Lepisosteus oculatus: one gene and its partners. The protein of the gene in region 3 interacts with the protein of the main gene of each other region in a biochemical or structural test. Links are inferred from orthologs where the notes say so. Each region holds a gene or a part of one and is shown on either strand. Other genes may lie near its edges.

The links.
Region 1: of the proteins of wnk1b (region 3) and klhl3, one has a biochemical effect on the other in vitro, tested with the Homo sapiens proteins (2 studies listed by BioGRID). The link is inferred for Lepisosteus oculatus from reciprocal best matches to the Homo sapiens genes WNK1 and KLHL3.
Region 2: of the proteins of wnk1b (region 3) and oxsr1b, one has a biochemical effect on the other in vitro, tested with the Homo sapiens proteins (2 studies listed by BioGRID and IntAct, with this or other methods). The link is inferred for Lepisosteus oculatus from reciprocal best matches to the Homo sapiens genes WNK1 and OXSR1.

What each region holds. Positions count from the first base shown.
Region 1 is NC_090706.1:38,766,402-38,776,425, forward strand, and holds the start of klhl3 (kelch-like protein 3), read left to right. Parts: upstream 1-6,055; 5' UTR 6,056-6,176; intron 6,177-7,010; exon of another isoform or gene 7,011-7,074; 5' UTR 7,075-7,227; coding exon 7,228-7,241; intron 7,242-10,024. UniProt on the Homo sapiens protein: Substrate-specific adapter of a BCR (BTB-CUL3-RBX1) E3 ubiquitin ligase complex that acts as a regulator of ion transport in the distal nephron.
Region 2 is NC_090701.1:34,902,185-34,911,978, forward strand, and holds the start of oxsr1b (serine/threonine-protein kinase OSR1b), read left to right. Parts: upstream 1-5,295; 5' UTR 5,296-5,872; coding exon 5,873-5,942; intron 5,943-9,794. UniProt on the Homo sapiens protein: Effector serine/threonine-protein kinase component of the WNK-SPAK/OSR1 kinase cascade, which is involved in various processes, such as ion transport, response to hypertonic stress and blood pressure.
Region 3 is NC_090702.1:10,339,090-10,349,337, forward strand, and holds the start of wnk1b (serine/threonine-protein kinase WNK1), read right to left. Parts: upstream 3,848-10,248; 5' UTR 3,782-3,847; intron 3,667-3,781; exon of another isoform or gene 2,892-3,666; intron 2,834-2,891; exon of another isoform or gene 2,601-2,833; intron 163-2,600; 5' UTR 1-162. UniProt on the Homo sapiens protein: Serine/threonine-protein kinase component of the WNK1-SPAK/OSR1 kinase cascade, which acts as a key regulator of blood pressure and regulatory volume increase by promoting ion influx.

The DNA of each region.
Region 1 (10,024 bases), on a different chromosome or scaffold from region 3:
AGGTTTGTGACTTTAGGTATGTCTATCTTATGCTTCATAATCATCTACCCCCCCCTCCCTTCACTCAAACCAAAATTATACTCATTGTTTGTGATCATGTTTTACTAGGTGTTGCATTCCATAATTAAGTTTGAGAGCCACGAGAAATCTAAAGTTATTTTGTTTTTAAAAAAAACTAGGTGATTCCTAAAAAGGTTTAAGTTATAGTGTTTTGAAATTTTGATTGGGAAGATCTTGGAAAAACACGATGTCCTAAAAGTCAAAGCTGGGGATAGCAGATAGGGGAATAGTCTTGCCACACTGTATTTTAAATTCCTAATTGGCATTTCTTTATCAATTGAGGCTTTGTCTTTTTGACATCTCTAATATAATTGCCCGATACCTTGTTTTAATATTTGCCTGATTGGTGAAAGCACTAAACTTTTTAGCTGTGTGCACAATTAATAGTGTTCTGCTGAATGCTTACTCATAAGGACCCTTTTAGAAAGGCTCTAGGGTTGTGATTATTCAGTTATCAAGCAAGAAGTTAATGAAATCTATGGGCTTGTTCTGGTAATTTTGGTACCTGGGATCACAGGCATAAGTGTGAGAACCATAAGAAAGTACTCAGAAATTCCTTCCAGGGATTTGTGATGGAAGTTTTTTTTTATGATTTGATCAAATCAAAAACACATCTTCCCTAACTGAGAAGACTTCAGGGTGTATTGGTGTTTGACTTAGTGTGTTCTGAATTACAGCTGCCCAGTCATTAAAGGTATCTTTTTTTTTTTCTTTTCCTTCCCCTCATTCCAGAACGCAGCCTGCGTAATGCTGGAATTTGAAACCCTTTCCTAAATTACCTTTCCCAAAGTACCGTCGACTGAACAGGATCCGCAAAGAGCCTGGTCCTGATCTTGGAAGGAGAAGGGAAGCACATTGTATCAGGTGAGCAAGGGCTTCTTGTTTTAGTTTTCAGAAGGGAAATCAATACATTCGGAAGGGTATCCCGGATACTAGTACCTGCTTTGCTGTGACCGCTACACATTACACACTTTTGAGCGTTGGGCCCATCTAGCCCATTCGGAGGTTGGTAGCTAATTGATCAAGGATCTCATCCAGCTGTCTTGAAGGAAGGCAACGTATCGGCCTGGCTGGGTAGTATGTTACCTACTCCCACAACCCTTTGGGTAAAGAGATTGGGCATCGCTGGAGTTAAGCTACTGGTACGTTGGGTCGCCAACTATGTTGGAAGATATTTGAATGCTATGGATGTCACAGCTGTCAGGCTGTGTGTCTTGCTACCACTTTATTCAGCCAAATTTTGCCCCCCAAAAAAGAGCTGTGGACGGAAGTGTTCTCGTGAGATGTTAAGGCTCTGAACCTGCCGTCCCGGGCGATTTCTGCAGGCAGTAGAGTGTTCCTCACCCTGACTCCTCTGGGGCTTCCTGTGTGGCGGTCTGGCACTCTTTTAGAAGGGAAGCGATTTCGGATTCTGCCGCCGCCACCCCCTCTCAAAACCATCCTTTGGGAATCCCTTCCCATGGTAGGCTTTCAAGGAGGTGTGGCTGCTACTCTCGTTAGTCCCGAAATCCATTTGTGCCCACGTGAAGCCGGGATATTCGGATATGGAAATTAGCCTTTTTTCCCCAGAACCGACCCCAACAGAAGACGGGCAATTTGCTTCCCCACCCCCTCCTCCTTCTTTTGTTCGTCCTCGGCTCCTCCTCTCATGTCCATATGCGCAGTGGGGCCATCTGTCTCCCCACGCAGGGTCCCAGTGTTCCCGCAGGGTTTCAGCGTATCTGCAAATGAGAAGCTGCTTGTGGCCTGAGGGTTTTGTCTTCAGATGGGCTGGAAAACTGGCTCCTGACCCAGGGCTTCTGCGTTTTCTTTTAGACCTTTAGATCAGATCGCTTTATTGGCCAGATGCAATTTCTTGCATGGGGAATTTGTTTTTTCGCAGACCCCAACCTGCTCTCCATGAGACACGCAGACGGGGAGAGAGAAGCTTGGGGTCAGAGCGCAGGGCCAGCCGTTTATACGGCGCCCTGGAGAAGCTGGGGTGAAGGGCCTTGCTCGGGGGCCCAACGGAGTAGGATTCAAACCGGCAACCTTCCAGCCACAGGCGCAGATCCTTAGCCACAGTGCCACCGCTCCGCCCCATAACCCGTTCCCTTCCCCTCCCCCACGCTCAGACCTGTTTACTCATTGGGGTCGTCGCTCTGAAAACATCCGCTGTGTGGTATTTCAGAACCCAGGCATACTCGTCCAGAGGGACTTGAATTAAGGTACCTGGGATCTCGGAGGACATTTCTGCCAGCGTCCCCTGATGTATGCAGGTGCTAAATTTCCCCCCCTGTATGTGATGGGGGGGGTATGTATGTGTGCTCGCAGAGGAAATGCATACCACTGATGGGTGAAAGATGGCACCGATTACAAAATGGTGCAGATCCCCGAGACAGAGCTCTGAATCTAAGGGGAACTTTTGAGTAGGAACTCGATGCAGGCTAAAGCCTTACCCTCTGAGCTGTGCTAATCCAGACCCTGTGATGTCCTTGACGTTATTTTAATGCACGCAACAGAGCACAAGGTAACCACGGCCTCTGGTATTCCAGCCCTCCATCATCTCATTAGTTGACTGGAATTGGCGTGCACGTATTTCATTCCTGCACAAATCAGCCGGTTCGTCCTGCGCCTATTCTTAGTGCTCCCAGTGGGCTCGTGCTTGGGGGTCTTTTGGGTTGTGCGGGGTGGTGATGAGCTTATTTGAAGGGCTTTATTAGCCACAGCACATAACAGCTGACAGAATTACTCCCGGGGGCCAGACACGTGTGGGACCAGCTGTTGCAACCAACCCTCTGAACACACCAGGCGGCCAAATCCCGGTTTGTGCTGGTTGAACAGAAAGAGGGTGATGTGTTAAAACAGACGAGCCTGCATTTAGAGGAGTCCACAGACGTTTTTTGGAAGTTTCCTTTCCTTAAAACAAAAGCTGCGAGTAGTTCCTGTGGGTAGGAGAACACTCCTAAGTGAGCAGTTTCATTTTTAACGCTGTTGGATTGCGCACAAAGCTGAAAGAGATGTCTGTGCACGTTTGTGTGAAGCAGCTGCTGAGCATCCATTCCAGTCCGCTAAAGCATTGGCGAATTAGCGACGTGCTCGCATTCCTCGAGTTGCTATTAAAAGAGGCAACAAGAACCGCACGTTTACTGTCAGGGCCTGCGAGAGACTGCGAACAGGCAGGGCAGCAGAAGGCGCGTTTCGGCGCCGACGGGGTGCCGGGAGAGCTGGAAATGGCGGAGGGGAAGTGGGCGTGACGTCACGGGCGAGAGGACCCGGATATTTTCCTGCGCGCGGCTCGTGTGGCACGGGACTGCCGGAAGTGGGGGGTGTCGGGCTTGGCAGGAAGTCGAGATCGGGGGGGAAGCGAGGAGGCACTCGGGCTTACTGGCCCACTACCTACCCTGATGCGGTGAAGTCTTTTATTTAAACACCAGATGGCGGTGACTCTTGCGCGCTTTGTCAGGCCGAGGCGGACGAAGTCGGGCAGCGATGGTCACGTGTCTTTCCGCAATCGCCGCGCTGCGTAGCGGGAGAGCCGTGCGTGGAGACCGTGGTTCCTATGGCAACGCCGCTATGGCGGACACGGCGGCCTGTTCTGCAGCTCTGGCGACGCGCCCTTGTGTCTGGCCGTGGGCTCATGAACAGCCATTCATCGGCCGCGGGTTAGCCTCAGGGTTATGGCTCCGTATTTTTGGGAGAAATGTTTTTTTTTTTTTGAGAGCGTGTTGCATAGTAGTCCCGAAGCGCTTATCGCGTTGAACATGGACACCGACTGAATGGTGTCTTTCCGGTAGAGAGAGATTTGGTCACATCACTTTTTATTGGGATAGAAGAGTGCTTTTCGGCACTTATAAACGGCTTTTAAAAACATTGCGCGTCGGCAGATATTCGCTTTTTGATTTTGTTCCATCCCTCAGGAAGGTTTTATGTTCCTTTGCTACTTTAAACGTTAAGCCTTTTTATTAAGGTTAATAAATCGGAACAGCATGACCACCTCTTAAAACGCGTTTTTGATAAACGTGGAGGGAACATTTAAAACCAAAAACGTGCGAGATTTAAAAAAAAAATCAATGCACACACGAGTTTTGTCACCTTCACCCATCATTTGAAGTTACAGCACCATTCAGCGGAAATGTGCAATAATTCATTTTCCAATTTCATAAGATGACACCTTACGTATTCACTTTTGGAACACACGGGGGCAGCAGTTACTTTAAAGTGGGTTTGAAACGAGTCGTGTCAGCTTGAGCAATTACTGCATTCAATAAAAGCAATCAGCTTAATCTCCTTCTTACATTCGAGAAGCTGTTTCTTCAGTTAATACGTACTGGGGGGAAGCCTCTTATCATTGTTGGGTTTAAGGTGTGATACTCTTTCTAACACTGTTTTCTCTTTACACTCAGAGGCTATCCTGGAGCTCAGCTGGCTGGCGTGAAGTTGGCGTGTGCTCTCCGTGTGCTGCCCGGAGCTGCCCCGCGTGCCCCGCCAGCTGCCCAGAGCAGCTCTCATGCGATGACTGTTTTACAGGTCACGCAGACTTGGCTACGAATCCACGGACTGGAATATCACTGATGGGCGCTCTTTTTAAAAAAAAAACGAAAAGCGGTGGAAAAAAATATTGTGATTTAAAAAAATATATATTTAATAAAAGTATTTGAGTATCGGTGCCGTCCTCTTTCTCTTACCAAGGTTCGGAGTTGTGTGTTCCGAGCTGCTGTTGTATGTTTTTCTTCCAGGTACAGTTACCGTCTACAGAGCAGTACTCGGGTGTAGCTTAAGGGTGGTTGTACTGTGCAGGGGAGAAGTGAATACTTGGAACTATGCACTTAGATTTGAATGTACTTTTCGTGACTGCTCCTGTTCAGACCTTTCAGATTGGGTGCTCATTCACGAAGGCTCCAGCACTACGAGTACCTGCCTTCCTGCCTTCAATAAATGCATGTCTAGTTTCTGGAATTGATGGAGTTTGCATCCCCGTTGCTTCCAGATTCTTTTTAATCCTTTGGGAATAGTGTCTATAAACACTACTGTCGGCTGTGTATTCCGGACACTCTAGTTGCTATGAAACGAGCTCTGTGCGATTGTGATGTTGTGATTGTTTCCCCACTGTGGCCGAAAAAGAGTGGTGAATGTGGCTCCGTACTTGAAACCAGAAGACCGGGTTCGTATTGCAGGTGGGACACGGGTGTCATACCCCTGAGCAAGAGGGTTTGTTCAGATTGCCCCGGTTACGTGCCCAGTTGTTTAAACTGGTGCCAATGCATGTTACCTCAGATAAATTGTGCCGTAATTGATCAATCTTAAGAGCAGTATAGCCCAGCTTCCTCCCGTGTTAAGTGGGAGCACCTGCACATATTAGGCAAGCTCCAAAGCTCCTCTATTTGGTTGTCAGCAGTCGTTTTTACTATACTGATATTGATTCCAAATCAGCTGGGTCTGTTGGAGCGGTGTGGCGTAAGGCACCTTATTTAACAGTAGCAGCAGTGTCCCAACCTGGGTCTTGAGTCCCTTCCACTCTGGGGCTGAGGGCCTTTAGGTGCCCCGTTTTATCCTTCTGGAAAAGCACTAATGCTCGAGAGTCCGGTACATTGATAGTCCGACCAAAATAAGGAGGGGGGTGGGGGATTTCGGTGTTTCTGTTGGCCTTTCTCATTGGACACTCAGTAGCAGGTCTAGATGCGGGGGGGCCTAGAAACTTTGTGGGTCCTAATGCCCCAGGGTAGTGAAGGGGATGCTACAGTGTAAAAAAAACATAAAACCAAGGTCCTGACTGGTTATTAGGGATCCCAGGACATTTATCAGAAAGAGTAGGGCTGTTGACCCCAGTGTCCTGGCCAAATTCCCCCCTGGTCTTTACAAATCATAGCCACCTAATAATCCCCAATTATGACCTGGCTTCATCACACTCCCACCTGATTGCTGATCCTGCTGGTGCACTCTGTCTGCCGTTGCATCCATAAAAGTGCTATATAAATGTGTAAGAAATCATCATACCAAGGCCTTATGCGACAACCCAGGATCAGCACTCCCCAGACATTGGAAGTGAGGACGAAGACCAACAGTGAAGAAGGTTCTCGCTCCTGTCGAGGCCTGCCCGGCTATCGTCATCACAATGTCTAGTTCCAGAATTGCGGGTAACCAAATTGCAGAGCTAAAAATAGCTTATTTTTCAGACTGCATACTGTATTGCAGAAGAAACTAGAAGCTCGACTGGAAAAAATGAAAGCTTATGTGCTTGCCTGTTAAGACAATTTGTATTTTATAACTTAGCACATGATCAGCAGAAACAAATTACTGCGCTCGTGTTTTAGGAGACATACTCTCGTGTTACATTGTCCATTGACACGGGTTTCCTACAGCTGTTGGCTTTGCATAAGAGAGACAGTGAAAGTAAGATGCGTTAAAACAGCCTATTCCACGTTACCAATCAACAATGGTGATAACGTAGTCGCACAATCAATAAAACAAAATTACGAGCGTGTTCATTTCTCAATAGCAGATCATTCGTGATATACTGCAGTAGGCTGCTCATGTCCTATGAAGACTGTTCACAGCCAGCTGTAGAAAGATACACAGAAAGGCGATTGCATGTTTTCTCACATACCATGTCTCTATATTAAAATACATGACAGTTTTGTTTGACCTCTTCTGTGTTACGCTCAGTTATAACCCCCCCACATGTTGCTCGGCTGCTCAGACTGCACAGTGTTAAGTGTCGGCTCGCACTGGAAGGGGCGGCGCTCTTCAGCGCTTCGACAGCAGCCTCAGTCTTCACCGTGTCACGTTTTTTGTCGAACGATACAGGTTTTGGGGGTGACCGTTTCATGACAGCGTGTTATGGATCACGGGGGGTCTTTCGGGGGGAGGAGGGGGGCTGCGACGCTCTCGCGCACTCGGGGGGTCCGCACGCGCACAGAGAGTGGAAGAGGGAAAGAAAGGGGGGGTTGGAGCAAGGAGACCTGGGAAAAAAATAGCAAGGAGAGGGAGGGGGGAGGTGTGTCCTTCCCTCTCATTCACCGGTCTGCTGTGCAGCGGAGGAAGAGGGCTGGCGAACTCGGGAGCTGGTCCGTCCTGTACCCCTGAGCGGCGCTGCGCCAGACCCCCGCCCGGCTCTCGCCGTGAGCAGCAGCAGCAGCAGGGTGTGAGCGGACAGCCGGACAGCACCCATGCGCTAGGACCGGAACCATGGAAGATGCAGGGTGAGTTTTGCCTCGCCGCTGTGCCCCTGCGTGCGCCGGGACTGAGACCCCTCTGCCCCTGCCTTCAGCCCCCTCGAATCTGTGCGCTGCCATCGCGTTTGTTTGTTTGTTTTTTTTTTGGGGGGGGCAGCATTTCTGCCGTCTTCCGCTCCTCGGCGAGGCGGTGCTGTACAGGCATGCAGCAGCAGCAGCAGGTGGGGGTGTACCGGTACCTCCCAACGTTTCGCTCGGACACGTGATGAGGTGTTACCGTGTAGCCGAGCCCAGTGATAACTGTCCCAGGACCACGCACAGCCCCGGTCGGAAACGTACGGCTGGCCACCGCAACTGCTTGCAGTCGACACCTCCTGCCTGAGCGGGAGGTGTTGATCTTTTTTTTCGACCCTGTGCAAATCCGAAAGAAAGATTTGGATTGTTTACAGGCGGCACGGCAGGATGTCGTGCTCAAGTTTAGTGGCGAGCCCGACCAAACTAGAACGGGTGATTTTTCTTTTTCGCCAGGTGTGCCTGTACATTACCTGTGTTTTGACGCGCAGAATTATTGGTTAGGAAACGTTAAAAAGGAGTAGATAAGGCACGGTTATTAAAAACGTCAAATTGACTATTTTTATCACGAGTTACATCGCTTATACATTTTCAATATGGAGATCACGTGAAAAACACGAGCTTCGCTTTTGCCGTTTTAAGAAGGATGAATATTCACGGTATGAGCGCTTGTAACGCCGGTGTTCCTGATGCTTCTCCAGTGTGACATTTCGACAAGGGCTCATGCCAGACCTGAGATCTGTGACCTTTCCGTCTGCAGTACTGGATGAAATTATACAAGGTTTACATTTTTAAAGTTTACTGGGAAACCCTTGCAATTCAGACTTTATTTCTCTTTAAAGCTGGCTGAAAAAACCTATATCCATTATTCCCACATCGCAGAAATGATTGTATACTTTTCCATTGAGAAGAAAATCTTGCCTGTTGTAGTCAAGTGTTCTCTTTCCCCTCTTCATGACGCAAAGGACTCTGGTAGTAGTTCTTCATTTGAAAGCATTTCGGGTATCACATTTGCCCTCTTGCAACAGTACCCATTAAAGCGAATTCACTGGTACCTTTAATTGTGTATGGGACATAAGGAGTCTTGTGATGGACTGGCCTCTGTCCTGCCTTGGACCCGTTGCATGCTGGGATAGGTTCCAGCTTCCCTGCGATCCTGGATTGAATGAGTCTGTTAGAACATGGATGGACGGACATAGGGAGTTTTGTTCTTAACTGAGTAGTTTTTGAGAAAGCTTTGAAACTGAGGTTTTTTTCCCTTCCTCTTCAGTTGCAGCTGTCTTTGCAAAGATACTCCAACTAAGGCAGTAAACATAGGATCAGCCTTTTGTTATTTCATGTACAAATTCCTAAAACCTTAAAGTGGCTTAATTTCCCTTGCATTGAAGTTTGTTAGGCCCTGCTGTGGTCAGTTTGTGAACTCCTGCTGTCTTTGACAATCAGCACTCATTTCAGTCTTGAAAGTTACAATTGAAAGTAGATGAGATACTTTTGTAATAGCTGTGTTGGTGTTTGTTAGCCATTGAGAAGCTTTTTAGAATTTCTGAAGGGGGTACTTAAACCTGGTGTTTTACAGGTGGCAGAGTAGATTGAGTAAGTAAGCTATTGACCTGAATTTACTGTTCATGTCAGGGCCAGGCTGGGTCAAAAGTGAATTCTGCAGTCCACTGTGGGAGTCTTGTATGAGACCATATGACACCATTACTGTCATATGCTTTGGGGTCAGGGTTTGGAACGTAATAAGTACAGTATTGAGTGCGTAGTGGCTCTCCCCTTTGCAATATAGCACTATACAGTCACTATTGGGCTGGGCGGTAAGCATGGGATGGGTCTTGGAACTGTGGATGAACCCAGATGTTTAGCCAGAAGGAATGTCCACCTCTTACCCTTTCTGAGTAGACAATTATGTATGCTTCACTAGGGAAACCGGACTCGTGCCAAACAGAAAAAGAAGAAAAAAATTAACTCATTGCAAAACAGGCTGCTCTAAAAGTGCTCTTCACTGATCTGTAATTTTGTTTACTGGTAGTTTAATGTCCAGCAGTAAGGAAATCAGTTGTTAGCGATCGGCAGCGAATAGGAAAAGAAATAATACTGTGATTTAAGGTGGTAATTGTTCAGGAATCTTCATTTGGAAAGAGAAAGAGATTTCTCTTTTGAGTTCTCTAATCTGCGGCTCTGTTTTAAGTCATTCAGCAGAGCGAATATAAGGAGTGATGTGAAAATGAGCAAGATGCAGCATGTGTTTTTCCAGGAGATGGGGGATCTTTTACATTGATCTGCTGGTTATGAGGAAAAAGAGGGCTGTGTTAGGGTCTTAAAGACCTCTGGGGCAATCCTTCTACAAGTAAAATGAGTGACAGCACTTCTGAGATGTCAAACTTTGTCTACAGCAAGACAGGTTGTGTATGTGCTTCAGTCTCAGGGATGAGAATGAAGTTGGATGAATGCGTAAATAACTTTTTTTTGGTTAAAAAATTCAAGTAAAGCATGGAGAATGAGACGGCTTTTTTTGACAGCTTTCTTCTTTTTTTTGTTTTGCACTGTAAGTCCTACAGCTGCAGAAGATTTGATCTTGCAGGCAGTCCGGTCGGGTTGTTGCTAACGGGTGACATAGTTTGAATCACAACCTTTTCTTCCTCCGATAAATAATGTGTGGCAGTTTGGACGTATGCCTGAGTAAACTAACGAGAAGACCAAGGGGAGACAAGTGCAAATTAGCATGAAGTGCTTTGAAA
Region 2 (9,794 bases), on a different chromosome or scaffold from region 3:
GAGGTTGAGTCTTGAATGGTTTCACCAAGAGTGTGAAACTGTAGTGGTATTACAGGAAAGTGAAAAGAATGTGAAATAGAATCTCTTCTTCAGGACAATTGCACTGAATTCCAGCTCCTTTTCCCTAGACCCTATTCCCAGCGGTATGGTGGCTGTTTGCCAATACTGTATTAGTATAGCAGAAATCTAGGAATGTTCTGCACATCATATTTCAATTTATGCCTGAGGCACCTAGATCCACATCTATTTGTTAGGAATTTCAATCATGTAACCTGCTTCCTCAAGAGAAAGGGCAAGCACTTTTTAACAGTTAATGGGTTAGTTATGGGTACATACTCCTGTAAATAAACCAAATAAGACCTACTGTATATATCATTGTTTCTTAGTAAGATAGTAAACCACTTAGCTAATTAATTCATTTGCATAGTTTAGAGATAATGGGTTGCATCAACAAATGCTTTTAAAGGGACAAAAACAACAGGATCTTTGTTATTGGCAGAGTTGGAGCTTGCAGGAAAAACCTCCTGTTGGTGAACTGTGTTAACTACAGAAAAAATAACTACAAAAACGTCTGTAAAGTCATGGACAGTAAACTGAGCAGCTGTACAAAGGCAAGTCAAAAAAGAACAAGGCTGAGAGAATTAGAAAGTAATTTGGATAAGGGGATCACATGAATACAAAACAGATTTTATAAGTACTGCATACATTAAAACTTGTAAAAAAGAACACCAAAAAATTTGTAAAGGATACAGTAACAATACATTTATTGTAGAAAATTTGAAGATCAAAGGGAAAAATGTTGTCTGGATATTTTACATATGTATTCCCTACAGAAACGACCAGCACCAAAATCATGTGATTTTGCATGTTATACTGTAGTTCATTTATGCCACAACCATTTATGGCGCTTAGCCTTCTGAAATATAACCACCCCAAGACAATGCCAAAACATATGCAGAAAGGAGTCCATTGTGTCCCCTAGACAAAGTTTACACAAGGCACTAACTTCATATAATAGCATCACATGAGAGGTCAAGTATTCTCTGTGAGGAACATTTGCTATAAGTGAACAAGTTGGATGACAAAAATACAGTACAGTGTCCCAGGAAATGTCTAGAACATTCAAATCACTATTCCAAACAGTAACATCTGGTAAGAGGTTATGTAAAAAGAAACAGATTAAGCCAATACTTCTGTTTCACCTCTAAAACGCCAGCAGATTATGCATTGGTTTTTCAGATAAACCAACCCTCATGAAGGACCACGGCACATGTTGAAGAAGTGAGACTCAAATTAAACAAGATGACCCATTAGTTTATAATGAGATTGGAAATCGTGGACTGAGCAAAAGGCCATCTTAATTAAAAATATCTGCTGGAATGTGCAGTCCTGAATTTTAAGTGTGCAAGAGAAAGAGAATTATCTACTGTATACAGAATCTATTATAATAGAGTAACATTTTTTCTTCAGTTTCTGGGAATGAGAACAGAGATCCTCTACCTAATTTTCTCTTTCTACAGGTGCTGGTGCTGTGTAGGTTCACTGGTTTGTGATCAGACTAAACTATCAGCATCTGAAAACAGTATTTCCTAACAGACTTTATAGTGTTGCCAGTTCGACAGAATTAAGAGCACCTGTTTTTTAGAAGTGTTACTTTCATGCGAGTGAGATTTGACAGGGAGCCCAGAGTGCTGGTTTAGTGATAAACGTTTTCAAATTCTGAAAATTATTTTCCAGGAATAAATAGCATGAAGGTAACACCCTATAAAGAAGAGGTGATTTGAAAATACATAACGGAAAAGTACAGAATGTTTTATTTTTTGTTTGGTTTTTAAATCACAAAAAACTGTAGACTTGAACATTACAGAGAGGAAAATAATACAAGTACTAGAGGAACTCAAATTTAACAAAACGCAGTGGTGATCTAATCACAACTAACTGTAGATTTAACAATGGCAAATTTTACTTAAAGAACTAATGAAGTATTGAAGACTGTACTCGGGATTAAAAGATTATTAATATTGTAATATTATTATAAGGGGCAGAAACCTTTAAAAAAAGCTAATCAAACATTACTAAATCACTATATTCTCTGAACAATTATATGGTAAATTTACATTTCCTTAAAGCTTCCAGAATGTTCTACTTAAAAGATACAACTCTAAGGTGGTTTGTTGGAAATTAAAACATTTGGCTACGGTCCATTATGCAACAGCATGGTAAGCTTTTCTGTGTAATGGAACCCTTTAAAGGCTGCGTCTAAAAATTGGGTTTACATTTTTATAAAACCAGATTAAGAATGAATGAGGCAAAGTTTGCAGGCAGTGAATTGGAAACAGATGGACTGAGAGACAACAGAAAAAAGAGTGGGGAGCTGTATCAGTGTGTGAACTGTAAGGTTAATTCCATGTTGAAAATATATGGGAAGAAGATCAAACAAAACCGAAGAAAAATCCAAACTGTAGTTCTAACCTTGGTTTTCTTCTTTCAAACCTTTCAGTTTGAAAACCTGTACTTGTGCCTGCTATACAATGAGGATGGTCGTACTTCAAAAAGATAATGTAAAGGTTTTCAACAAATTCATCCCTAAAACTAATAACTGTAATTAAGCAGTGGCATATCACAGGGATCCATTTTAGACCATCTGTTCAGTTTTCAGATTAGAATGAGATATATAATGTGAAAAACTAGGACCCCTTAAGGTTTTATAAAATTACAAAAGGTTTAATATATTTAGACATATTTGACCCTCACCTAGTCCTCACCAAATCCTAATAGCAGATAAAATGCACCTCAGCTGACAAATAGCACAAACAAATTCTACTTTGTCATTGTTTATTTAAACAATGAAACAGCATTCGATATGTTTGTGTGAAAATGTAAGTTCTACCACCGCAATAAACAGGTGGAATAAAACATGTACGAATGATTAGTTGATCATTAAGATGTGATTTTGCCCATATAGAAAATCATACACATTCTCAGTTTAGTAGTAAGCACTCAGGTTAGTGGTAACACATTGTGCGCAGAACAAAATAAACCAGTGACAGTGTCTTAGAGAAAGAACTGTTGCTGCTTAACAGCCTGCGAAGGGTTACAATGCCATTTCCAAACACTGGGAAGTCCATCTTTCTAGAAAGATAATCCAGAAATTTCGAAAATTCAAGACTGATGCCAATCTACCCAGGAGTTGCTGCCCTGTCGAATTTTATTAAAGATCTGACCTACAGTATGATGCTCCCAAAAGTCTAAAAAGAACCCTAAGGTTTCATTCTACTGGCCTCTCTCGCTATGGTAAATGAGAGAGATCATGAGTCCACCATTAGGACAAGACAGAATAACACTGGCTTACATGGAAGGACCAAGAAAGTCAAGAGGAAACCCCTGCTCTCCAAGGAGAACACTGCTGCGTGGCCAAAGTTTGTGAAACAGCACCCGCCTGAATAACAAGACTTCTGGAACAAAGTGCTCAGGAAAGGTGAGTCAAAACTGGTTTATCAGGTGGGTGAACACAACGGCAGCAGTTAGGCAGAAGGCTGGGATTGTTTGAAGATTTTTGATTTTGAGAGCAAACTTTGGTTTCAAACAAAAGGAGGCCGGTCAGCCCATTTAGCTCATTTGGGAGTTAAGAACTGATTTATCCAAACATCTTATATAGCCATTCCTTGAAATAAAGATGGGAGTCAGCTACTTGTTCGTATTTCTTGCAAATGATGAGACTCGGAACTGGTGCATCATGGACTTGTAGATCAAAGCTGTGGAATGGTGTCTGATGTAAGGACCTCCCAGAGCCATAAATTGTTACATTGTTGTTTGGTACTAGATGTTAATAATGTATTTGGAATCTATGTATTATGTAATACTATTGTGTAGTCCATGTTCTTCCCACATGAGTCTGTAGATTTTATTCCCCAATCTCATAATGGACACAGACTTGATACATACTGTATGTGTACAACGAATGACAATTCACAAGACACCACAGTGCCCCACCCTCAGAAAACCCCCTTTCTCCATGTTAATAGCAGTTAAACATCCCTGGAAGGCTAACTCCTTCTCCGGGAAAAGGTTGTCAAATTATCACATAAAAAACAGGGAAAATTACATGAATCCACTGAAAACATATTTAGCCTAGAACATTCTAAAATGTTCTGATAGAAAAAAGCTCCCAAGCATAAAGAAATGAAAACAAGTATACATTAGATTCAAACTCGTTTATACCAAACTGCTTTATACCATATGGTAATAATAATAATAATAATAATAATAATAATAATAATAATAATAGTTTGGCAATGGGTGGCACATTGATGCAGTGGGTGGCATTGTTGCCTCGCTATGCTTGGGCCCCTGGCTCACTTCCAGACCTTGGGTGCTATGAGTAGAGTTTATGTTTTACCCATGTTTGCGTGGGTTTCTTCTCATAGTCTAAAATGTAAACATACCTTTTAGGTTCATTGGCTTCTGGGAATCCGAAGCTGTGATTGTGTATGTCTGTATTTGTGTTTCTGTTTGACCTGTGATGGAGTGATGTCTTGTTCAGGGGCTACCCAGCCTTGTGTCCAGTGCATGGTGGGATGGGTACCATCTCCCTTGCGACCCTACACTGGAAGAGGCAGTTAGAGAATGGATGGATGCTTTGGCAATTGTCAAGAGTCATGGCAATTGTCATACATTAATATACAATTCCGGTAAATTACTTATTCTGAGTATTTAAAGGAACAATCTATTCATTAAGGCGTATTCCTGTTAAATCACAGGTGACTCGCACATAACTTCAAGGAAAATTATTAATTCGGTCACATATAAATTCGCCTTGATTCCACTTCATATAAGAAGCATTAAACATGTTTTGGCAAAACGCATTATGCCATACTTAATTGAACTTAATACTTTAATATTTAAATATTTATGACAAGGAACTAAGCCTAATGTAAAATTCAATTTTTTAAAACAATTTAAAATAGTCCAAACACATGTATATTGTCTTCAAATGGGTCACACCTCCCTAAATTACGGACAGTATGGTGTACGGAGAACGAAGTAGCGTGGACACGGCGCTGGCAAAGGTAGGATGATATTTAATTGCTGTGACTCAGTGATCACTCAACAACCGATGGCACTGCCGTCTTTCTAAATCACTGAATGAAGGAGGAGGTATCAAAGCAAGGGGCGCACACAGGATGTTTTGATTTGACTGACTGTAGTAGTGACCAATCAGCAAGGGTTCATTTTTAATTTTGCCCAATAGAAAACCACTATGTGCACAGACCAAAATAATATATTCGATTTCTTCGGGAGGATAGCTTCTACCATCAATGTTGTGGCTGGAAATAGCTCCTCATGGCCAGAGCATAGCTCGCAGATTGTTTAACGTTGGAAGTACCGGCTGTTAGAAACTAAAGGGTATAAAACGTACAGGGTGATTTGTTGTAATTTTTCATGCTAGGTATCCATCTGACAGCTTTCCTAGTTGAAAGGGTAATAATAAGTTTGCATGCCTTGCGTTATTTGACATGAAGGAAAAATAATTCTGGACAATTTGGACCCTCCAAAAAAGCGATTCATTAACAATTGAACGAATTAGTGCTGCATTGTCATTCGCCTGTCATTTTGCCACACACAAGATGGCCGCCCTCCGGCTCTTCCTGTGAGCGCCGCCAGGAACGTGGTGGGCGGGGTGTGTGCAGCTAGTGGCAAAGTTTGGGAATGATAGTAGGACCTGTGAAAGATTGCAAGTGAGGGAAGTGGCGTTGCGGGTCTGCTTTGAAATTTGAACGTTATTTTTTATTTCCAAGAATACTAAACATCACAGGCCTGAGGTTCGATACACTGTCTGCACAGCGCGGCCTTTTCAACAGCAGCTGTAGTCATGTCCGAGGACCTGAGCTCTCTACCTTGGTCCATCAACAAAGATGATTATGAGCTACAAGAGGTGATTGGTGAGTAAATCGTCAAAGCTAGTGCTGCCAGTGCCTTTCCTGCAATTATAGTGACGCGTCGAACAATTCATCTCTTTTGTTAACAGCTGCAGTACTATTAGCAGCTCCCTAAGGAAACGATAATAGCGACTACCGATGGCTAACGTTGACAGACAGGGAAGGGCTGTATTTGCCGTGACTGTAACTAGGAAGTCTTTGCTGTATTGCAGTAAACAGTGCATCGCATTTGTGAGCTGCGTGGCCATTCATTGTGTTGCGTCGGAGAATGTGTTGAAGTTACACGCCTCCCTTCAGTGTGTTGCGGTGCGGCTCAGTTGCGCCCTCGCCGCCGCCGGCGGGGCTGAGCTGCGGGTCCAGCCACAGGGGTCGCGGGCTGTCACTGTGTCAAAGTGGGTGGTGCTCCGTGCAAACACGCCGCCGGAGCCCCAGGCCCCAGGCTCGACTATACATCGCCCGGGCGGCTGGAGTTGGTCGACTTCTCCTTGTCTTGTGACATTTCTATGTGAAAGGACATTATCGACGGAACTGCGGGCATACACACCGAGACTGAACCCGTTTAGACATAACCCCTCACGCATACTCGTCTGTCGCCTCTGTAGTTTTACGCTGTATTTTTGTGTCCTCGGCTTGTATCTTTTAAGATTGCGAAGGTTTATTTTTAACCTGAGATAATTGTCATTGCTCATTTCTTCTTTTCAAAGTTGTGTCTGGCTTCCCAGTAAATGCGTCGATGGACAAATTATTTTTCGGCGGACAAGGATAGTTAAGCAAGTTAAACAGTACTGCAACTTTTCCGCCTAGTATTTTAACACCAGTGTCGTTTTCTATCCCTGAGTACTAACCTCGAGTGAGGGAGGATATTGTAAATGAAACATCAAGTGTATATTATAACATGTTGACAACTGTAGTTGGAATGTCAAGCTTTTTACTTCATAAACTGATCATAACATTTAATTTGTACTCCCGTCTTTCAAATGCTGTTCATCCACTCAGTACGATACGAAACCTCTCGTTTTCGTCTAATCGGAGATTTAGGGGGTATTTTTCTGGCATAATTGTGATTTTCATTAGAAAATGTCAAAGTGGTAATGCAGAAATTGAGCAACATGCCTTTTATGCAGTAGGTATTTCAATTGGCGATGTTTAAAATTCAGGCTTTTATTCAAAGCGGCTTCATTTGTGTCTACGTATACGTTTTGCTAAAGCAAGCTGCTTTTTCAAAGGTACAAAAACAATGCCACGCCTGCGATTTGAACCCACAACCTGCCAGTTAGGTGCACAGAATCAAGTTAAAATTCCGGTCTAAATACGCATTCAGAGATCGCGGACTACAGATGTGTTTTCACCGTTTTCCCAACGTGCGCCTTGGATAGTGTTTGGGGTCTCCACCTCCTTTTCGGTGTTGTAGGCGACAGCTCATCTCCACACCCTTTTTTTTGTATAGCACCATTACAAGGACATTTGGTGTTAACTTACTGTAACTGCAAGTTCACATGGGGCATAGGGCACTAATGCATTTAACTACATTTGTGAGTTTTTTTTAAACTTTTTCTTTGTTTTGAGCTGGTTACTCCTTGCTTTTAAACAGCATATCTCAATGTTATGCTGTTCAGTCGTTCTGCTCTGTCACTGACAGTGTCTTGCAGTTCTTGAACCTTTACTGATTTTTTTTTTAAAACGTACAGGCCCTGAACAAACCCGGCCCTTTGTAAAGAAGGGTGTTTTGTATTCCGTCCACTTCACCTCCAATGATATGATAAAAGGCTACCATTGTTGTGTTGAAACTGATCTTTGAGATTTGAATACCATAATTGTGGCTGAAGCTTAAATAAAAAATGGGGTGCAAACAGAAGCTGAGAGAGAATGATTTAGCCCAATGGATGTTATGTTCAAAAGAATATGCAATTTATCTTGTAGATTTAGTGTTTGCAGTCTGTTTTCCTTGTTACATTCCCCTAACTTCCCCATTTTTCTCATTGTATCATTCTATCAGCCTTCCTGTAGGTTAGTAGGTCTGCCAGTCTGTGGACGTCTTCTGATGCCCTTTTTGTCTTGCTTACTGTACCATCTCGGTCATGAACCCGATGAGCATATCTTGTCAAGAAATAAAATAAAATAAATAGTTGTATCCTGATATTAAACTTTTTGGTTGATAAGAGACACCGTGCAAGAATATCTTGCACATGCTTCAAGTGCAGTGCCAAGAACACAGCAATATGTTTGAGTTCTGAATGGAGTATTGCTATTGTGACCTTCAGAAATGTACTTCATTCCTATTGCTTCACTACAATGCCCAGCTATATAAATGGGTACAAACAGGATTGTGGCTAAAAAGTAAGGCAAGTTATTAATGTTATTAAAAAAAATACTTTTAAAGTTTCTCTGTTGTAGTCTAAACAGTGATGAATGCTGTTCTCTGCTTTATTGTGCACGTGCATTATCTAAAGAATGCACATATCCTCTAACAGTACAGTATAAGCTATATTATTGGTCAGATGGAAAATTATTCAAATATTTGTACGGTAAAAGTAGAATAGAGTATGTGGAAATTAACATTGACACATTTTTATGCTGCAAAGGAACAAGTAATTGGTTTATTCCGTCTTTTTTTAGCATGGAATAAACCTATTACTTGTTCCTTTGCAGCTTACGCATGCTGACGCAGCTACTCACCTGAATTACATTTTTATTTTGGCAGTCTTGCCCAACAACGATCTATTCATAGGTGTTTCTGACAAAAATAGGAGCTATCAAAGCGGCTAAAATAAGGAAACTACTGAATTGTCAGTTGGTAAATTACAAGAAATTTCTGAGTAAATGTGTGAGGTCACCTTGACCTTTGACCCAATATGGCTGACAAACTAAGATCTTCCGAAAGTGCTGGTTTTCAGTATATTGATAGCGTTGATCAATTTTATGAACATATCTTATTTGTTAGTCTGTGATGAGGTAACCTGTTTTGTAATAATTCATGTAAAAATAAGTGACGGCTAACCACTAGTTAAGTATGTTTCATCTCATTTATAGCAAGTTTACTTTTTTAAATTTTAGATGAGCAAACTTCAGTGGTGAAACCAGTTAATTTCAAATTTACCAAGCTGGTGATTTCTTGCATTAAATAATGGATTCCTTCACAATATCTAACAAATCTGTTTCCTTTAAAGGGCCATGTCGAAACAGGTTATTTGGAAAAAAATGTCATCTAACCTCAAGCATTGCGATAACATGGTTATGGTCCAATGATTGCAGATACGCTGTTTGTAATGTAAACTAAGTGGTGGTGTTTTAGTATTTCTGGCAGTTATTTCCATAATGTTGAAAACCGAAAACAAAATAACTATGCTTTTATAAAAAAACTTGGTGAAGCCATTCCTTTGTTAGGAGCCATATTAATTTTTTTTTTACAAATTATAAAGAATCCATAATACTTAAATACTGCCATAACACAAAAACTCAGGTGACAGGTAATAAAGAATTCCCCCACCTTTTCAATTTTCTGAATGTTTGACTGTATCCAAGGAGCCATTAGGCACAGTTTTTGTTCCGTAAAGTAATTGATGTCACTCTCTTTTGTATCTGTGAATACCTGTACAATTCATAGAAGGAATCTAAGAATATCCCTAAACTTTGGACTGCAGTGTTTGCTTTTATGACTGAGGGATTGTATTCACCAGGGTAATCACTCTGGGAATCGCTCAGGAAGATCTGACTGGCTGTCGAAAGACTACAAGGCAGTGTGTTCCTTCTCTGTCCATTAAAAAGCTCTGCTTTATTCATCACTCCTGCTGAAACTGGTTTGGATTTATTTGTGACATTGCTTAGTAAATCTATGACTCGTATTTCGGTTTCTGT
Region 3 (10,248 bases):
ATGTAAACACACAATGACCATCAGATTCACACAATCCATCCTGAAAGGGAACCACAGATAGTCGGCATTGAGCAGAAAAAGGAAGGGGTGGTGGTGTTCTTGCTTGTAGTCTCTGTAGCAAAAACCAGGTGTAATCCAAAGCTTGATCCTCACAGACTTGAACTGCAAAAGAAAAAAAAATAACTGCACACCCAAACTTACATTTTCATTTTCCTTAAGTGTTAACATGCTCTATTCATTTGGTTGTCATGTTCTTTTCACTCAAAGATGTCCTTGGAAATTAGTATGAATATCCTGGATTTAACCCTTCAGCAATAGTAAAGAGAGGTTCTTGGACTATGTGTCCACAACGCTCACAATCTCCAACTACATGCTAATGTTACTAAATCTTAACTTGTACAGGAACATGCTTCAAGTTACTTAAGATGTTACTTCAATGTTAAAAGTACACACAATATTGCTACATTTTCCCTGCTTACAATATACAAGTACACAGAAAATGGGTCAACAGTCAACATGAAGAACCGAAACACTCCAGCCATGGTTATATACAAAGTATTGTTTTCCAATATGAGCATGATGACATTTCCTGTCCCACATTCTCAGTATTTGGAAGTTTGAGTAACATGGTGATTTAAACAATTTCACTAGGAAAATATTTCATACTTCTGTGCGATTTCATTCTAACTGTCAATCTGCCACACCTCACATGTAGCAAACTAAGTTATCCGAGAGAGCAAACAGGATTTTTTTTAAAATCTTTTAAGTCGCCAACTATCTTATGATTACCATGAGACCCTGCAGCTTTTCCCAATATATGGGGCATGAAGTTAGTATCCCCTATAAACAACTTGCTCTCAGCTGTACTGAAAGTTTGTTTTTGTGCTATTTCAATCATGTGGAAAAGCAAAAATACAAAAAAAATCAATGCTAGAGGGAAAACGTTGTGCTGATGATGATGCATAATTTTTAACCACAGAAAGAATGTTTTTAAGTACATAAACCGTTTCCAAATTTTTGCAGCCCACAGGCAGTAAATCAATCTAATCTGATACTTAAAAATAACAGGTATGAATATTTTAAGAAAAAAATAGAGAAAAGATGCTCATCTCCCACCCTAGGCTAACGAGAGTTCAGTGCTCAGATTAAATCCACCTAAATTAAGTAATAATACTAAATAAGAAGGGTAATAATATTTACAATTTAACACCAACTTTGAAAAGTTAACCACTTCAAAATATTCTATCCATCTTAACACTTAAATGACACTAAGAACATTACACTGATACTCCATTAAAAATCTTGTACAATGAAGTCCATGAATTCTCACATCACTAAATAGTTTTGGAAAAAATTGCTGTAACAGTTGTTAATAATATTAGGCTGTCACCTTCACTCTTGAACAAAAAGAGCTCTGCATTTTCCCAGTTTTAACACTTATTAATAAATATAACAAATACATATTGTAGAACAGTACTAAACCGGTTTTCAGTCAATACATTGTTGGCTACATTGAAAGTACTGTACATGGGGAAGCCATACCACTCATATTGATGAATTCCTATAATAAATATCACGCTGCTGAAGTTAACTCCTATAACTCCCTCGTATGACTTTCATAATTCATTTCCTCCCTTTCCGGACTCTTATATAGATTTTAACCACAAAGACATTAATATGATGAAAAATATATATACAGTTTTCACTCCATTGTATGCGGAGTTCATCTTGAATACTGCGTCATTCATTTTAAACACTTAAAACGTAGTGTCAAATCGCCAAACCAGCAACTAACACAGACGCTATGAAGTGAGACTGTTCCTCAATTCTGTCAGCTAAAGGATTAAGGACAAAACGTCATGAGCAAGTTGTCAGCTCGATCGCCTTTGATGCACTAATAATTAAGTGACCGAATTCGAAAATCATTTAAAGTTACATTTAACGTTTCAAAACAGCCAGGAAAATACCCTTTTGCGTTCTGATTCTGCAATGGAAAGGAACAAATACAGAAAAATGTTTTATAACCTACAACTAACAACTGACACCAAATTAACCTCTTCATAGGACTGTTTATAGATTTGGGTCACAGACAACCCAAAAAAAAGTTTGTTCATACTGTTCGCTAGGCCATTTGCATAGCATTGGCACCAACCAGGCTGGGTTGGCCTGGCCTACTCAAGACCCACGGCTGACCTAAAACAGGATTATCTCAATGCACAACGCTGTCTCCAATACAGTTTAAAACCTAGTGCACAAAACAATGTAGGCTGCCAAAGCAAATGTATTATTAAAAATAGTTTTATGTTAAGAACCTCATTGTAAGCACTCGGAACGCACATGCTAAAACGAAGTAATGTCGCTTTAAACAAGCGACATTATATGATGCAGTGTCAAATCAAGGCCATAAATTAAAAGCATTTTAAGAACAATAAATTGCATACAGTATACACACAGAAGAAAAAAATCTTACATTGAATACCATATTATACCCCTAATCTCTACGGGATTCAAGTAAATCACTATTTTGCCATCCCTCACGTACCGGAAAGGTTTGCCACAACGTCCTAATGGGAGGCAGTATATCGGAGGTACCTGCTTACCTAAAGCCTAGTCAAAGCCACATTTCTTCACATCGGATTGTCAGTCTGAAAGCAATCACACCGGCAAAACCCCGGAGAGAATTGAACTTGGAGCACCGCGCAAGATGCTATTTCAGATGTGAATCCGGAGTTATTGAAAGGCTGCCGAGTCTTCGCTTAACCAGCCTAACAACGTACAAAACCCATCCTGAACGTGGATATAGTTTAACCAACCAAACCCTGCCAAAAGTTTAAGTTAAAATGTAAAAAAAATAGTATCTTCGCTCGTTGACTGCAGCGTGCACAACGAACCTGGACTAGACGATTTACATGGCTCATTGGAGTGTTCCCCGCCGGTTGACCTGGATTTTCACCGATTCACGAGTCTCCTGCTTTTCCGTTTTCTTGGTCGCTAGGGTTTTTAAAGAGCACGGTGAATCCAGGTCGAATGTCGGCCCGAGCAATTTCGTAAAACATCAGGGCATGGAGGAGTGTCTTTGTTTTCCTAACGCACCAAGAGTGTCAGTGCCCAGTCTCCATCTGCGTATTCCTTTTTATTTGCACGTAAGCGACTGGGAGCCTTCCATGCTCAAGATTGACAGAGATATGACCGATATCTGATTTTTAACAACTTATCATTAACTATTCGAAAAATTAGCTTGCCTTCGATTTCTGTGCCACAATCCGGCCGCCAGGCCTCGTCTCTCTCCGGCCTGGGAAATCACCTCTTTCTACTCCCTTCACACAGCAGAGCATAGCAAGACTGACTAAAGCGTAGTTCGGGTGGGATAAGCCCCTTTATGTGGAGCACAGGGAGTCTGAAACCCTCCCAAAACCCTGTGATTTAAAACTTCCCCCTGCGCACCGCATCCATGACTTTAAATAATTAAAAGATGAAAGTATAAAATACTTATAAAGTTATTGCAGTGTCATTCCAGATTCCGCTCAGAGCGCCAGGGTGTACACGAAAAAGCACATTAAAAAAGTTTACATAAATTGCTGCGCTATTACCGCATCCCCCAGCACAACCAAAATGAGTTTGCGTTTTCAGCTTGAACATTCAGTAACAAGGAAAATAAAAACAAGCATTTTATTAATGAATATCAACATAATGCGAAATATTATTTTAGTCTATAATCAGAATTTTACTCCCAATGTACGCTATTTTCTGCAAACTAGTTTTTACTAAATGGCGACTTTACCTCAAAATCCGACAAGGACCTTCCCCCTCCTATAGATCCACATACCGAGCTTAAAAAATCTTCACCACGTCTGCGCAACGAAGCGATGAGCTCATCGATTTTGTAGTCTTTCTATTCGATTAGACAAAGCTTCCTGGTTGTTAGCCGATGATAGACTTCAATTCCCAAGATGCATCTGTAAAACCCGCGCGGAGACATCCAAGTTTTTAACGGTCAAATATTTTCTGTAAACTAAAGGGTTTTGGGAAATGTAGTTAAACTACCCAGTGCTCAACACCCTATAGTTAGGAAATACAGTAAACAAATGTTAACCACCAACATTAAGGTAAAATCAACTAATCGCAGGCTCATATGCTGTTGGTTGCATTATATTCTGTATAGGGTGGAAAGAAAAGGGTAAATAATAAAACACTTACACAGCGAGTTTTCCAAGTTAAAAAAGTGTTGTAGTGGATTATACTATTTTTTTGAATACTGAGGTTTACATATAATACAGTTAATTGAGGTATTTACAATACCATTACTGTTTCCATTGTTCCTGTTATCTTGAGAAAGACCACACAATTCAACACTTTCATAAAAGACAACATTTCGGCAGTGGAGCCTTCTTCAGGTGTGAGGAAGAAGGGTGAAGAAGGCTCCATGGCCGAAACGTTTTGTTTTCTTTCTTCTCTTTTTAACATGGAATAAACCTATTACTTGTTCCTTTGCAGCCTAAGTATGCTGACGCAGCTACCCACCTAAACTACTTTCATAAAATAATTACAATGTTTGGTACTTATAATCAGCATACTTTATGGGATACAATTTCATATTGTTCAATAAATATTATTTATTACACTGACATATTTACATATGACATTTCATTCTAACAAACAGGATTTGAAAGAGACACTTCTCAGTCACCTAAAGCTGTAACAATAACATATAGATAGATACTTTATTGATCCCATGAGGGAAATTGCAGTGCAACAGCAGCTTAAGACAGACAACACAGCAACAGTATAACGAATGATACAATAATAATTATACAATACATACAATACAATCAGTACAGTGAGTTACTCACAGTCCAGTACACAGAAAGAACAAACCAGAACAGAACAGTATACAAAAAAGTAATTTGCATGATATAAATATAGATATAAATGTATTGCACAGGTCCCTGGCATATATTGCCCAAAAACGGTTGTAAAAGGGAAAAGAAAAAAAATAACAGATGTATCAGTTTACTGTTCAGACCAGAAACAGGTCACTGTCAATGTTGTCTCTGCCCAGACGCAAGGTGGATGCATTGTACAGTCTTATGGCAGAAGGCAAGAATGACCTCCTGTAGCGTTCCCTGTCGCACCATGGATGAATCAGTCTATTGCTGAATATCCTCTTCATTTCTACAAAAAAGTCATAGAGGGGATGGGAGACGTTGTCCATGATGGCCTCTAGTTTAGACACCATTCTCCTGTCAGCCACTACCTCCAGGGGGTCCAGGCCAGACCCAATGACGGAGCTTGCTCTTCTGATGAGCTTGCTCAGCCTGTTAGAATCCACTGCTCTAATCCCAGAGCCCCAGCATACCACCACATAGAAAATGGCGCTCACCATTGTGTAGCATCTTACTACACACATTGAAGGACCTGAGCCTCCTCAAGAAGTAAAGTCGGCTCTGACCCTTCTTGTAAGTGGTCTCTATGTTCTTAGACCATTCCAGTCTATCGTCGATGTGCACTCCCAGGTACTTGTACGAGTCCACCATCTCCACACCACTCCCATGGATGTAGACAGGAGTAGGTTTGACCCTTTTTCTCTTGAAATCTACCACCAGTTCCTTGGTCTTTGTTACATTCAATTGCAGGTGGTCCTCCCCACACCACTCCACAAAGCTGCTGACCAGTCCTCTGTAATCTTCCTCCTGCCCACCCTTGATACATCCCACAATTGCAGAGTCATCTGAGAACTTCTGCAGGTGGTATGACTTTGAGTTCAAGTTCAAGTTCAAGTTTATTGTTGTTATACTCATATACAGGTATATGGTATAACAAAATGCTATTTAGCTAGCTCTCAGACGATAAATATTACCAAATAACAACCATACAATTGTATAATGAAGGAAAGACAGAGACAACAGGCAGTGTGCAAAAACAACAGCCAATGTGCAAAACAACAAAAGGTAACAGTTAATGTGCAAAATAACATCAGATGTGCAAAAACATGCAACAACAGAATGAAATAAAAGGATAGAAATTATGGGGAGTGAGCTTTTTGAACATCTAAGGTAGAGGTAGATTTCAATGTGTGTTTGAGTTTTTGGTAAGAAAGAAGGCACTGCGAGGTTCAGATCATAGGTGAGAGATGATGTGAGTTTGAGAGAGGCTGGGAGTTTGATAGTGCGGGGGTAAAAACTGTCTCTGAGTCTGGTAGTCCAGGCCCGAATGCTCCGATACCGTTTTCCAGATGGGAGGGTAATACACTCTGTAGCTGGGGTGTGTGGGGTCTTTGATGATGCTTAGAGCTTTCCTCAAGCACCGTCCGTCATAAATGTCCTGTATAGATGGGAGTTCAACCCCAGTGATGGACTGGGCAGTTTTCACTACCTGCTGTAGGACTTTGCGGTCAGCAATACTGCAGTTGCCAAACCACACTGTGATGCAACCTGTCAGTGTACTTTCTGCAGTGCATCTGTAAAAGTTAGTGAGGATCTGTGGACATCCGTCTTAGGAAGTACAGGCACTGTTGTGCTTTCTTGATCAGACAGGTGGCGTTGAGAGACCATATGAGGTCCTCGGTGATATGGATGCCAAGGAATTTGAAGTTAATGACCCTTTCCACTTCAGTCCCATTGATGTGGATAGGGGCATGTCCGTTTTGCAGTTTCATGAAATCAACGATCAGCTCCTTGGTTTTGCTGACGTTGAGGGTGAGGTTGTTGTCTTCACACCATGTTGTAAGGAGATTGACCTCCTCCCTGTAGGCCCTCTTATCATTGTCTGTGATCAGACCTACAACTGTGGTGTCATCAGCAAACTTGATGATGGGGTTGGTGTTATGTTTGGCCTTACAGTAGTGGGTATAGAGGGAGTAAAGTAATGGACTAAGCACACACCCCTGGGGGACCCCAGTGTTCAGAGTTAGTGTGCAGGAGGTGTGGTTTCCAAGCCTGACAGCCTGAGGTCTTTCTGTCAGAAAGTCCCGAATCCAGTTGCAGAGGGTGGTGTTGAGACCCAGTGCACTGAGTTTCTTGACTAGTTTCTCTGGAATGATAGTGTTAAAAGCTGAGCTGAAGTCAATGAATAGTAGTAGTAACTGAGTTGTATTTAAAGTCTGAAGTATAGAGGGTGAAGAGGAACAGAGAAAGAACTGTCCCCTGAGGAGCCCCTGTTCAGACACACAGTTCTGTGTTACATGCAGTAACATAACATCTTGTTATTTATATTGTATGCTTTTTAATATTCTACAATTTTAGGAACAAGTAAAGATTTATTCCATGCTGAAAAGAGAAGAAAAGAAACACTTGTAACCTTATTCAGGAATAAACCTTTACTTGTTCCTTTGCAGCCTAAGCATGCTGATACAGCTACTTACAGTACTTAAATGTCTATCACGTTAGTTGTCTTTTTAATTGTTTTCCCATATTACCAAGAAGATGTAAGTGATCTGTCAATACAAATACCTAAGGCTTCTTCATAAGTACCTCTTCTAGTTCACTGTTTCCCATTTTGTATTTATAGTTTACATTCTAGCTACCACATGCAGTACCTGACATTAAACATCATTTGCTATGTGTCTGCCCACTCTTGAATTTTACTGAAGTATTTTTAAAATGTCTTTTTCTGCCTCTACAATGTTTGCTCATCCTCCTAATTTGACTGGTAGAATCTAGATCATTGACATAAATTAAGAAGAACAGTGGTCTGATAACCAATCCCTGAGGTACACCAATAATAACATCATCCTAAATTGATTATTCACATTTTATCTGTACCCCCTTGTTTTCTACTTAATAATCAATTCCCAATCCAAACAGTTGGGTTTCCCTGAATGCCTACCACCTGCAATCTGAGAATTAATCATTTATGTTGAACATTATCAAAAGCCTAAAAATCTAACTACAACAAAGCTAAATATCTAAATACACCTTGTATTAAGTCCTATATGTATGCATTACTGTTCTTGCTTGTTTAAAGAACTCTAACACATTTGTTAGGCAAGACCTATCTTTTCCTTTTTACTTACTTAGTAAATGCTGACTATTTACTAGCATATATGTTATACACTAGGTGATTCCATGTAGGTAATTATTTAGTTTAGTTCTTGTGATAATTTCCATTTCTTTACATGTATGTATATGTCTGTAATTACTTGGTTTAGTTATAGTTACATTTTTTATGGATGAGTCCCATGTTTCTAATTCTCCAGTCCCTGGTCAGTATCCGTATCCAAGAGACTGCGTGAGACTGTTGGAAGAGATGCGTCAGTGGTTTCTGTCATTTCCTTGACTACTATTTGAAAGATACCATTTGGCCCTTTGTATTTATTACTCTTGAGTGCTTTTAGTACATGGAAGAGTTCTCCTTTCTCTATGCTGCTAATACTATCCAATACTCTCTCACTCTTTATCCAAAGCCCTGTCCTTCTGTGGCTTGTGACATATTCAATGCTCAGAACTTAACAAAGTATAACAAAATTATTGCACATTGGAACATGCGCATTGGTGGTAGTGGAGGAGAGTCCCCATTACCTGTAAAGAGATTTAAGTGGAGGATTGGCTGGATAGTATGACTTTCTGCACAGATGATCTTTACGATTCCATCCAGGATCATCGTTACAGGCAAAAAATCAGATTGAAGTGCCATTTTTTGGAACATAAACATGAATGCTAAGTGATCTAAGTGACCACGTTTCAAAATATGACATTATATTCAAATTTAGGGTGAACTTGAGGCCATCAGAGAAGAAATAGGGAGAATAATTTAATGTAGGGAAACGTTGGAGGAAAAGCTAAAAAAATTAGCCTTCCTTCCTTATTTAGTCTTACAGTAATTTCTAAGCCTTGGAGGCAAGAATGGCAGGGCCTAATCTGAGTACACATTTTTGGTGTATGATATGTCATATGCCAACTCACATTATCACTGAAATCCATCTATAGTAATGCACAAGCCTCAACAGTAAAGTATGCCTTAAGTCTAAGGTGGGAGTGAATTTGGACACTTTGCTTACACATCACAATATCAAAGTAAGAACATGCCTAGGCCCATTCGGAAAGTGCACTTTCCTCCACAGATAAAATCTGACACCTGAAAAGCAATGATTTATTAAAGCAACATATATACTACATTCTGTATTTATAGAGTAATCAAAGAATGATGCATTCTTTTTATCATTTTTATCAGGTGATAAACTGTTAAACAGGAGGAGATAGGCTGATAACTGTAAATTCTGCTTCATTATATCCATAAAACTCCAACCCCTTTTAAAAACAGTGTTTGACTTTATTCAAATTATGACTTCAAATAAATAAAGAGCACATACAGGTATAGCGAACCATCTTCTCTTCAGGGGAAGTAAGGCACACTTTTTAGATTTAAAAAGGAAATTAATTCTGGTTTATAGAATGTGATGTACATAAGTGTTTCAATTTTTGTACAAAAATTGACAATGTTTATAAGTTAATTTAGAATTCTGTAAAATATTTATGACTAATTTGCATACAATAACATTTTCAATGACCACATGGGAATAGCATTACAGCCAGCAGTCATATCTCCCTGCAACTCACAACTGGCAACCCACTGAAGCTCAGCAGGAGTGAGCCTGGTCAGTACCTGGATGAGAGACCTCCTTGGAAGAACTAAGGTTGCTGCTGGAAGAGGTGTTAGTGGGGCTAGCAGGGGGTGGTCACCCTGAGGTTTTAATACTGGTCCTAATGGTCCAGTATAGTGACGGGGACAATATACTGTAAAACTTCTGATTCTCTGTGGTCATTTAAAATCCCCGGGTGTTTCTCGAAACGAGTAGGGGTGTTACCCTGGTGTCCTGGCCAAATTTCCCATTGGGCTTTACCAATCACAGTGTCATAATAATCTCAATTATGAGCTGGCTTCATCACTCTGTTCTTCTCACCAGTGATAGCTGGTGTGTGGTGAGTGTACTGTTGCACTATGGCTGCTGTTGCATCATTCACATGGATGTTGCACATTGATAGTGATGGAGGGGAGTACCCATTACCTGTAAAGTGCTTTGAATGGAGTTTCCAGAAAAGTGTTATATAAGTGTAAGGAGTTATTGTTATCAATCTTAGAATTATTAATATTTTTTATCAATGGAAATTTGAACCCATAGCCTTCAAGTTAAGACCTATACACACTATGCCACACTGCCGAGCCCTAATAACCCTTACAGCCTTACAGTTCTTTCATGTTGCTAACCATTAACAGTATATAGTTTGCTGAGCCAGCACTCTCTGGAGGTTT